Linked DNA regions of Struthio camelus. The protein of the gene in region 2 purifies or fractionates together with the protein of the main gene of each other region. This does not show direct contact. Links are inferred from orthologs where the notes say so. Each region holds a gene or a part of one and is shown on either strand. Other genes may lie near its edges.

The links.
Region 1: the proteins of DPF2 (region 2) and SMARCD3 purify together in Homo sapiens (affinity purification with mass spectrometry; 3 studies listed by BioGRID and IntAct, counting the BioPlex papers as one, with this or other methods). This does not show direct contact. The link is inferred for Struthio camelus from reciprocal best matches to the Homo sapiens genes DPF2 and SMARCD3.
Region 3: the proteins of DPF2 (region 2) and SMARCD2 purify together in Homo sapiens (affinity purification with mass spectrometry; 6 studies listed by BioGRID and IntAct, counting the BioPlex papers as one, with this or other methods). This does not show direct contact. The link is inferred for Struthio camelus from reciprocal best matches to the Homo sapiens genes DPF2 and SMARCD2.

What each region holds. Positions count from the first base shown.
Region 1 is NC_090943.1:136,396-140,141, forward strand, and holds the start of SMARCD3 (SWI/SNF-related matrix-associated actin-dependent regulator of chromatin subfamily D member 3), read right to left. Parts: upstream 2,939-3,746; 5' UTR 2,707-2,938; coding exon 2,629-2,706; exon of another isoform or gene 2,616-2,628; intron 1-2,615. UniProt on the Homo sapiens protein: Involved in transcriptional activation and repression of select genes by chromatin remodeling (alteration of DNA-nucleosome topology).
Region 2 is NC_090976.1:844,076-847,821, forward strand, and holds the start of DPF2 (zinc finger protein ubi-d4), read left to right. Parts: upstream 1-891; 5' UTR 892-945; coding exon 946-977; intron 978-3,341; exon of another isoform or gene 3,342-3,746. UniProt on the Homo sapiens protein: Plays an active role in transcriptional regulation by binding modified histones H3 and H4. Is a negative regulator of myeloid differentiation of hematopoietic progenitor cells. Might also have a role in the development and maturation of lymphoid cells.
Region 3 is NC_090966.1:2,793,895-2,797,640, reverse strand, and holds the start of SMARCD2 (SWI/SNF-related matrix-associated actin-dependent regulator of chromatin subfamily D member 2), read left to right. Parts: upstream 1-877; 5' UTR 878-892; coding exon 893-1,066; intron 1,067-3,746. UniProt on the Homo sapiens protein: Involved in transcriptional activation and repression of select genes by chromatin remodeling (alteration of DNA-nucleosome topology).

The DNA.
Region 1 (3,746 bases), on a different chromosome or scaffold from region 2:
AAATGCATAGAAATAGAGCAGAGAGCAAAAAAAGGACAAAGTGAAGGATGAAGCCTTAGGAAAAAAAAAAACCTTTCTCTCCTCCTACGGAAACAACGCATAAGACCCTGATGAAACAAAATGGGAATAAGACAATTATAAAAAAATTAAAAAACAAAAACAAACCTTGTTTACATAAGAAAGGGCTAACCAGAGATATAACAAACTATCAAAAATTCAAGCAGAATGAGGACAAAGTATTGTCCTTAAGATTGTTTAACCATTAAGATATTTCATACTACAGGGGTGTCCCATTTGAATGGGACAAACAGGGAAGAAGACTCCTTCTAAGCTGGCAACGTGGAAAAGAAGAACAAAGGCAAGATGAAGTATCCAAGAGCAAAGGGCAAAGTGACCTCAGCAAAGGAGAATATGTTTCCAGCAAGATCAAGTGAATCCAAATTCTAACTGCCCTCAGGAAATGCTGCAAATTTTCCTTTTCGTTAAAGCGTTCACATAGCAAAAATTTTTCTCACAACATTCTACCTCTATTTACATCCCCCCTATCTTTGCCAAAAAAATAATGCCTGCAATAATCAAATAAGTACAAAGATAAAATACAAAATAAATAACTTGAAGAGGAGGTTTTTCCTGAAGTGAGAGTAGAATCTGACTCCAAGGAATTCTGATAAAGTTTCATTTTTCAAGGACTTAATTCAAATGCTGCCACACTGTATGTGGTAATAAAACTGAATAGCTAGCAAGATGTGAACACAAGGCAACAGCTGTGATGGCACATTCATTTATTTGGGAGAACATAGGACCTGAAGAAGTAAAATGAAGTATGATTTTTTTTCTCTTTTTTTAAATAATGGAAGACTGACTACCTCAACTTGTGCTTTGATCAAAAGTTACCCGAGACGAGGAAGAGACTGATGAAAAGAACAAATAAGGAAGCAGAAGCCAAACTGAAGAAGATCATCATGGAGGGTAGGGGAGGAGAGGGGAGGTAAGGGCAGGGTCACACAAGAAGCGTTTCTGGCAAGAGAATAACAGACAAGAAGCCCCAGCCTCACTAACAGGAAGAAGATGACATACAAATGCAGATATTTCATGCAAATGCAGATATTCAAGTAAGATGCCACTAGCGGCTCAATTCCCAGTGCAAGTCAGATTTCCTTAGTATCCAAATAACTAATGGAAACCACTTCTACTGTATTCATTCTGGTATAAATTAAAAATTCCAGTGCTCAAGAGGACAGCATGCTCAGCTAGATGTAGAAGAAACACATTCACGTAACTATTTTAGCCACTCTTCTTGATACTGAAGGAAGTTTGCTGGTGTGCAAATGCAGTAGAAAACAGAATGCCTTTTCCTGGGAAAAGGGAAAAGCATTCCACATGCCAACGCCTCCCACTTTGCCTATGCTTCATCCTTTACTATAGCCATCCTAGCTATAGTAATCCTGAGCCAGAACATCTTAATGACTCCACATGTCCACAACAAAACCACTGCCACAAACCTGCACACCAGCTATTTGATTGTCTCTGTACATCTGCCAATCTAGCAACAGACTGCTCCTGCACATTGGCACCAGGTCATCTGTTCACTGTTCTCACAAAAACAAAATGCCACCTAGAAGTCCTTGGCCTTGCAGGTCTCACCATATCCAGGATCTGCAAGTCACCAGCTAGATTCTATGCATCTGGAGTAAGCCTGAATTACAGAGACAATTCTGCAGCCTGCAGTGAGCTCCCCAGATTTCTATGACTGTTGCACAAGAACCTCCACCTGATGTCTTCAAAAAGATGTCACAAGAAGGTGCCAGAATCCTCAAGAGAGAAATCACCCAGGACTATTGGTAACCAAACAATATCTGCATTCTTTTGGACTTTTCAGTAATCTTTTTTTTTTGTTGTTGTTGTTAAATGTATATAAGAAATCCACGTTATAAATGGTGACTGCATTCAACCGTTTGAGAGTCATCTATAAAACACGGTCTCCAATGACAGTAAAACAGGGGTTAGCATTTCCCCTTAAAAGGAGACTGAAGATCCGATTCTTAAACAAAAGCTAGAAAATTTTTAAAGACCTCAAGGATTCCTTTAATTAACCATGGCACCCTGAAATTCTCTTGTGGGTGAGTGCCTATAGACTGTTGTAGATCTGCAGAGCTAATCTCTTCAAGCCCCTGAAAGTCACCTGTTAAGTAGCCAGAGGATACATAAGAGCCAAGTCTGGAGACAAGAACCAGAGGCAGTACCACAAGGCTTCATCAGGCTTTCATCAGAATTGTTTTTCAAAACACAAGTTTGATTACAGAACAAAGTGTCCTACAAGCCCATCTGGGTCAGATCCAGTGCAGATTCTGCACTGTGAACAGGCTCAAAAGAACGCTATTCACTATTCACTATTCATGGAGAATCAAAGCAAAAATCACAGCACACATCCCCCCAGACACAAGCCTGTATTATCAATGAATCAGTACATATTCTGGGGGCTTTGCAGACCCCGGTGCTCTCCTGGCAAGGCAGTTACCAGTGCCCCAAGAGCACGTTTCAGGAGCCAATCCAGCCCAGCACAGAGCCTCCAGTTTCCACTCATCCCTCTATTCAGAGCCAGCCAGCTCACTAACTTTCCCGACTCACCACCCCATGGACCAGAAACTCAAAAAGTTTGCTTTTCGTAGCTTTGCGAGCCCCTCCTGTAACTTCATCTGTAGCCATCAGGGTCTGCTCAGCCTCTCTCACTCTCTCTCTTCCTCTTTCTTTCCCTTTTCTGCCTTTTTCTCCAACTCTCCCCTCTGAGTCCTGCTGGGCTCTCACACTTCTAATAGCGCGGAGTGGGGAGGGGGCCCCTTCAGGGCCTTCCTGACGGCCCACTCGCGCTAAGCCTCAGCTGCTGCATTCCTCCACTGATAAGCCAGAAATAGTTTGTGCTGCCGGGTTCTGTGTGTTTACTCTGCAGGGACAGAAAATCCAGCTTTTTAAACCTCTCTGTCCAAACACCAGAGATAAGCAGGAGGCAAACTGAAAACACGTCTCAGCTTTTTAGTAGCAGCGCTGCAACCTCTCCTCCTCAGCACAAGGGGATGGTAAATTCTGGGGCAAGGGGGAAGGGGGAGGGGGCAACTTCAGCAATGACATAAACTCAGTGCTTCACGGAGAGACTTTTCCCATTAGAAAATGCAGCAGGCAAGCAGTGAGAAACAATGGTTTTCCCTTGCTCCCACTGCTCCTCCTGCACTGCATTTCCAGGCCTTTTCCCCAGAGACCTGGCAGGCAGCACACAGAAACATTCACTGGCAGCGTTTCCAGCACATGAGACTGAGAACTAACCCCTTTGGACGAGAGAGAGAAACAGCAGGAGGCAGAAAGCTGGGAACAGGGAGGGACGTGGTGTGAGAGCGAGGGGAAAGAAAGAGTGCGAGAGCAGCAGAGGAGGGGGCGGGGGGCAGCATGGCGGCGGGGCGCAGCGCCTGCTTCGCTCCTGCCCGCCCGCAGCCTCCCCTCGGCCCGCTCTCGGGCCGCTGCCATACCGCCGTGACGGGGCCATCAGAGAGACCCCAGGTGGCTGACCGACTCCGACACTGCTAACGCCACGGCTGCCATTACGCGTCAGGGCTGGCTGCTGCCGCTCACACAAAGCCCCGCGCACGACAAGGCGCCTGGTCTCGGACCCTGCTGGGGCCGCGGAGCCGCCGCCGCCGCCGCGCCTGGGGGGGTGAAAGCGGGGCGCGTCGGCCCCGGCCCTGCGCTGCCCCGCT
Region 2 (3,746 bases):
CTTGCTTCATCGTTCACCTTTTCCCCTTACCTACCTCTTTTTTTTCCTCTTTTCTACCCTTATTTTACTCTCCCATCCTTTTATGCCTCTCCACCTCCATCCTTCCATCTTCCCTTCATTCGTCTCCCTCATCCTGCACCATTTGCCTCGTGGTCTTTCTCTGGCGCCCTCCCTCACCCCTATTACTCTCTTATCCCTCATTTCATCCTCCCCAGCTCTTCATCCTTCCTCCTAGTATCCATCATCCTCCCCAGGCCTCTACACCCCATCCAAATAGCCTTTATCCCTTCCCGCTGCCCCTGCTCCTTCTTCTCCTCCCCCATTTCCATCACTCACACCTGATTTTCCCTTCTTTTTCCTTCACCTTTTCTATCATTCACACCTGTTTTCCCTCACCCTTGGCTTTGACTCTTCCATTTTACCTCAGCCCTCCACCCCCTCCCTCACTCTGCCTCCCCGCTACCCTTCATCCTCCTCTCCATCAGCCCTTCCCTTCCTTCACCCTCACCCCTACCGCTTTCCAGCTCCGTCCCTCGGCTCTTCCCCGTCCCCGCTTCGCTCTTCCCCCTCACCCCTCCGTCTCCTTCCCGCCTTTCCCCCTCGTTCCTCCATTTTCCCTCCTCGTCCTCGCGCCTCCCCCCTCAGCCCTTTCCCGCCTTTTCCCCCGCGCATGCGCCAAGGCCCCGCCCTGCCACCCAGCGCTTGACGCATGCGCAAAGCAGCGCAACCAGCCGCGCCAGCCCTTGCCTTCAGCGCATGCGCCGGCGCGGGGGAGGCGAGACTGCGCATGCCCGCGCGGCCGCGGCCGCCGTCCCCGCCTTTCTGCGCAGGCGCCGAGCGGCGGCTCCCCCCCACCCCGTGCTCACGCCTCCTCCCCCGCCCCGCCCGGCCCCTCCTTCGGCGCATGCGCGCTGGGCGGCGCAGGGCCCAGGCGGCGGAGGGAAGATGGCGGCGGTGGTACAGAATGTAGTCAAGCTGTGAGTGGCTCCCTTTCCCCCCCCCCCGCGGGGGGGGGCAGAATGGTTCGGCCCGGCCGGGGCGCGGGACGCGGGACGCGGGGCGCTGCCCTCGCCGCGGGCGAGTCCAAGTGACCGGAACCGGGGGGGGGGCAGAAGCGGCGGGGGGGGGGGCGAGGCGGCCGGTCTCGTTGTTGGGGGCGAAGTTTCCTCGGTGGCGGAAGGCGAGAGCGGCCGGGGTCGGCGGCCGGGGGGCGCCGCGCAGGGCCCGGGGCCGGGGGAGGCTCCGCTGAAGGGCCCTGGGTTCCCCCATAGGGTCCTGTGGGGGGAGAACACCTATATGGCCCTGTGAGGGGGTCCTATAGAGCGGTGGGGGTGGGGGATCCCCTCATATGGCCCTGTGAGGGGGTCCTATAGAGCGGTGGGGGTCTGAAACCCCCTATATGATGCTGTGAGGTGGTCCTATATAGAGCTGTGGGGGTGGGGTCCCCCCCATAAGGTCCTGTGAGAGGGTCCCATAGAGCGGTGGGGGTCTGGATCCCCCTATATGGCCCTATGAGGGGGTCCTATATAGAGTTATGGGGGTGAGGTTCCTCCCATATGGTCTTGCGAGGGGGTCCTATAGAGCTGTGGGGGTTTGGATCCCCCTATATGATGCTGTGAGGAGGTCCTCTATAGTGCCGTGGGGGCCTGGATCCCCCATAAGGTCCTGTGAGGGGGTCCTATAGAGTGGTGGGGGTGGGGTTCCCCTATAAGGTCCTGTGAGGGGGTTCTATAGAGCTGTGGGGGCCTGGATCCCCCTATATGGCCCTATGAGGGGGTCCTATAGAAAGGTGAGGGTCTGGATCCCCCTACGTGCTGCTGCGAGGAGGTCCTCTATAGTGCCATAGGGGCCTGGATCCCCTTATATGGTCCTGTGAGGGGGTCCTATAGAGCGGTGGGGGTCTAAATTCCCCTATATGATGCTGTGAGGTGGTCCTATATAGAGCTGTGGGGGTGGGGTTCCCCCCATAAGGTCCTGTGAGAGGGTCCCATAGAGCGGTGGGGGTCTGGATCCCCCTATATGGCCCTATGAGGGGGTCCTATATAGAGTTATAGGGGTGGGGTTCCCCCCATATGGTCTTGCGAGGGGGTCCTATAGAGCTGTGGGGGTCTGGATCACCCTATATGATCCTATGAGGGGGTCCTATAGAGCGGTGGGGGTCTGGATCCCCCTATGTGCTGCTGCGAGGGGATCCTCTATAGTGCCATGGGGCCTGGATCCCCCTATGTGGCCCTGTGAGGGGTTCCTATAGAGCGGTGGGGGTCTGGATCCCCCTACGTGGCCCTGTGAGGGGGTCCTATATAGAGCTATGGGGGTGGGATTCCCCCCATATGGTGCTATGAGGAAGTCCCGCAGAGCAGTAGGGGGTCTGGATCCCCCTATAGGATTCTGTGAGCGGGTCCTATATAGAGCTGTAGGGGTAGGGTTCCCCCCATATGGTCTTGCAAGAGGGTCCTACAGAGCGGCGAGGGTCTGGATCCTCCTATATGGTCCTGTGAGGAGGTGCTATATAGTGCCGTGGGCATCTCAATCCCCCCATAAGGTCCTGTGAGGTGATCCTATAGAGCAGTGGGGGTGGGGGTCCTTCCCTATACAGTCCTATGAGGCGGTCCTGTAGGACCCAGGGAATGGAGATCCCCCCTATATGGCCCTACGAGGGGTCGTATAGAGCGGTGGGGGTCTGGATCCCCCCTGTATGCTCCAGTGGGGGGGTTCTATAGAGCTCAGGGGCTAGGGGTCCATCTCCCCCTATAATGGAGGACCTATAGAGCTGTGGGGGGGAGTATCATCCTACATGGCCCTAGGAGGGGGCCTATGGAGCCTAGGAGTAAGGGTCCTGCCCAGTATAGCCCTGTGAGGGGACCCTTATAGAGCCCGGGCGGTGGGTGTCGCTGCCCCCACACAGCCCTCTAAGAGGGGCCCTTTAGGAGTGCTTATTTCTATATGGTGCTGTGAAGAGACCCTATAGAGGGTGGGGGGGAGTCCCCTTATATGGCCCTGTGAGGGGGGCTCTATAGAGCCCTGGGCCTGGGGCTCCCTCTATATGGCTTCATAAAGGGGAGGGGGGGCCTATAAAGCTTGGGGGGGGCCTGCCCCTATATAGCCGTCTGAAAGGGGCCATATAGAGCCCTTGAAGGGTATAGAGCCCTCCACTATACGGCACTGCGAGGGTGGAGGTTTTAAACCCCCCTGGGGTGGCCCAGGCAGGCCCTATACTGCCCCCCCCCAAAAAAAAAAAGCTGCTTAAAAGATGCCCTATGTCACCTCAAGGTTACATATATATTAAAGTTACATATATATTTTTTTTTCCGCTTTTTTTTCCCCCCCACGGGAAGGAGCAGGTTTCGCCCCCTGCTCAGTGCAGCTTCCGCCCTTCTTTCCCTCTCCGGAAAAAACCCTCTCGGTTTCCCCCGAAGCGAAGCGACGACGCGGCCGGAGCTGCCGCCACCTCCCGCTTCAACCCGAAGCTTTTCCGGCCCGAATCTCTCTCTTTTTTTTTTTTTTATTTTTCTTTCCCCCCCCTTGAAAACCTTCTCGGCCGACGCTCAAAAACTTGGCAGCTGTTGAGCCGGGTTTTTCCGGCGTTTCCCGGGAGCCGTCGCCTCCACGCTCGCTTTCGCTCCGACGCCTCGATTCCCGGCGGGGTCTTTTGTAATAAACCCGGCGACGTCTTCTCTCCTGGCCGTCCAAAATCCGTTAAAAAGAGACATTTCGGAGCAGCGTTTCGACCGTTAGCAAAGGCGAAA
Region 3 (3,746 bases), on a different chromosome or scaffold from region 2:
AGGCCTGAACACCCAAACAGGCATGCCTTCAGCTCCCACACGCCTGCCTGAGGAAACGCATGCACCTCCATGTGCCTGCGCACGTACACACACCTGCACGTGGAAACACACAGGCCTTCACACACATGTGCGCACACCTGCACGCCCAGGTGCATGGGCAGCACGCACGCACACACGCACAGGCATACGTATGCACACACACAAACACAGGCACACACATGGGCACGTGCACATATGTGTGCACACAGACACACGTGCACACACAAAACATGCATATGTACACATATACACACACACATATGCACACATAATGTACATACACATGTGCACACACATGTACAAATGCATATATGCATGGCTATACATATGTGCATGCACACACACGCACACACACATGCACACGTGCACACACATGTGCACACACATATGTACACAGGCACATACATATGGACACAGAGAGACACACAGGCGCATGCATACAACTCACACACACACACAAACACACATATGCGCACATGTGTACATGTGTGCACATATGCGCACGCGCACATACATATGCACATGCATATGTGCGCGCGCGCGCGCACGCACACGCACACGCACACACACGCACGCACACACGCACACACACACACACACACACACACACACACACACACACACACACACACACACACACACACACACACACACAGGCGCGCGGGGGCGGGGGCGCGCCGCGGCCACGTGCGCCGCCGGCGGGGAGGCGGGGGGCGGAGCGGCGCGGACGGGGGCGGGGCCCGGCGAGGGGGCGGGGCCCGGCGGCGCCGCGCGGTGACTCCCGACCCTGGGCGCCGCCGACTGCCGCCGCTTCCGAGTAAACAGCGCGGGCGGGGGGCCGCCAGCCGCCGCCATGGCCGGCCGCGGCGCCTTCCCGCTCAGCCCGCTGCCCCCCCCCGCCGCCGCTGCCGCCCCGCCGCCCCCGGGGCCCGCGCCCGGAATCCTGCGCGGCCCCAGCCCGGCCCCGGCCGGCGCCGCCGCCGCCCCGGGCTACCGCCCCATGGGGCCGGCCGCCGCGCAGTACCAGGTGAGGCCTCGGCCCCTCGCGTGGCGGAGCCGCGGAGGCAGCGCGGGCGCGGGCCGCCACACCGCGCCGCGGGGCTCCCAGGACACGGGTGGTGGGCGCTGGCGCGGCTCCCCTCGAGGCGGGTCCTCAGGCGCGGGTGCGTGCTGGCGGGGCCGCGCTCGGGACGTGGTGCCGTGGGGCTCGCTGGGCACGGGTGGGTGCTGGTCCCCACTCGGGACATGGCCCTGTACCGGGCACGGGTGGATGTTGGCACGTCCCCACTGGACGTCGCACGGCTCCCTGGGTGGGTGCTGACTTGGCCCCACTGGGGATAGACTCCTTGGGCAGTAGTGGGTGCTGGCCAGGCCCCACTGGGGACAGTTTCCCAGGCACCTGTGGGTGCTAGCCCAGCCCCACTCAGGACAAGGTGTCTTGGGGCCACCCTGTTCCTCGCAGCATCTCCGTTTCGGCCCCTTGTTGCTGGGCACAGGCACCAGGGAGGCCGGATCCGGGTCCTCTTCCCCTTTCTGGGGGCTCCAGCGGCCCCGGTGCCGAGGTCCTGCTCGTCGGTGGGTGCAGCTGGGGAGCTGTTTCCCTGCCCGCTGCTGGGACCAGCTCACGAGAAGCCTGGTCCTGCCCAAAGCTGGGAGAAGACGGATATCCCTGCCCAGGACATACCTAGGTGCCGTTTACCATCCGTCCCGCTCCTCTCGTGGGACCCAGGGTCTATGCTAAAATTCTCTGTCTTGAATTTGGCCAAAGTCCCTTTGTGATTTCCCCATGAGGGCTTGGTACCCCCCGAAGGGGCCGTGGGGAGAGGCCGGAGGGCAAACTTTCGCTTGAAAGCGTGGCCTGGCCTGCGCTCGTGGGGATTCGATGGCTTTGTTTGGCGGTGGTGTCTGGAGAGGTCCATCGGGCAGCTCCGAGGGTGCCGTGTTAGCAGCTCGGTAGAGGCAGGAAGAATATCCTTTTTTTTATTTTTTTTTAATTTTTTTCTTGTCTTTTGGGGAATGTGTGTGTGGGGGACAAATGAAACATGCTGCAGGAATGTACTTGAATCCAACCATGCTCTTATATGTTCCAGATCCCCTCTGCTTTCCCAGTGGAGAATCGCTCGGGGATTGAATGTGCTTTTTAGCAGCTTCTCAGCTGCACCGTCCCTTGCGGGGGCGCTTTTGACCAGGGGAAAGGAGTAAGTTGGCAAAGTGGCTGCTCTGCATATGGCCTTGGCAGTTAGGACGGAGGAAATGTGACCAGCACACTAGGGCTGCGTTTCCTGATTTTTTTTTTTTAATGTTTTTTTTTTTTTTGAGGCCCTTTAAATAAATGTAGTTATGAGCAAATGCCCAGTGAGGGGTCGATGTCTTTTGCTGTTACAGATGAGGTAACTGAGGCACAATAAGACCCGTGTTTTCGAATAGTAATCATTTTGGAAAGAAATGAAGGCAGCTGCTTCCAAACCTATCTCCGTGAGTTTCCAGAAAATGCTCTGAGATTTTCATCTCCTAGCACAACTCTGCTGCTCCAGCAGGAGCAACTCTGTTGCTTTTCAGCAGGTAGTAGATCTCCCTGCGCTCACTAGAGTGGGCCCAGCTCCTTTAGAATGGTTGCATGCTCCATCTTTCCTTATTCTTCATGGTTTCTAACTGCTTAAAAATCCCCATAAAAGTTGCTAGCAGCTGAATATTTGGCAGCATTGCTGTGCAAATCTTGTCTGTTGTAGCAGCAGAGTGATAGTTCGGGTCTGCTGTAAACACCCAGCAGGAGCCAAGGTGCGTAACTCTATCTGCGCTGCGGTGAGACTCAGGGACCGCTGGCTGTTCATCTGCTGGGCTGAGAAGAAACAATTTTGGAGCAGAGGAGGTACAAGCCACTCCAAGCAGAAGTCATATGTCCAACTCCAGCTTCACAGCCATTTCTTGTTGCGCAGAGCTCCCTTGAAACATGTTTATATGCACCTTTTGCAAATTTAGGGGTAACCATAACCAAGTAGCAGGTGCATATTTGCAAGAGGAAGCTGAAGAGACAAGGAGGTGATGGAAGAGGAGAGCAGGTGCTTGTTAATTTGAGGGGGAAAAATGGAGACATGCAAGTGCCTTGAAGGTAGATCTGACCAGTGAGCAGCCCTGGAGAAGCCAGAGCCAGTGTAATTGTTCTACTTTCTGCCTGAATATGTTTTATGAAGAGTATATTTTAACTGATACTCAAGTTTCCGCTTCTCACTGCATGCGCGGCTTGTCTGTGAGCTGGCTCTTGTGCACATGGTGATTATTTTGAAGAGGCTAGGCTTCTGATTTAAAGCGATTTCTTCCAGATGCTCTTTGGAAATGGAGGAGCCCAGTTGTGCAACAGATTCTCAATCTCTACTGATCACCACCTCCAGAGCTGCCACATTATTTGCATGAATGAAAACTTAAGAAAAAAAAAATCAAACCAAGGGAGCTTCCAACTTGTAAACTTCATTAATACAAAATGAGGAAACAACCTGAGTAGCCTTAAAACACGGAAGAGCCCTGAAGTGAAAATTGAGACGGCATATTCAAGGCCAATCTGAGCATTAACCAACGGTTGCAATTGTAACTTGATTCAAAGGATTCTCGGGCTGGGAGAGATCTTGCTCATTTACCCTGACCGTCCATGCAGTAGGTTGCAAAACCCAGCCCGGGTGCCTGGCTCGAGCAGCCGGGAGTCACTCATCGCT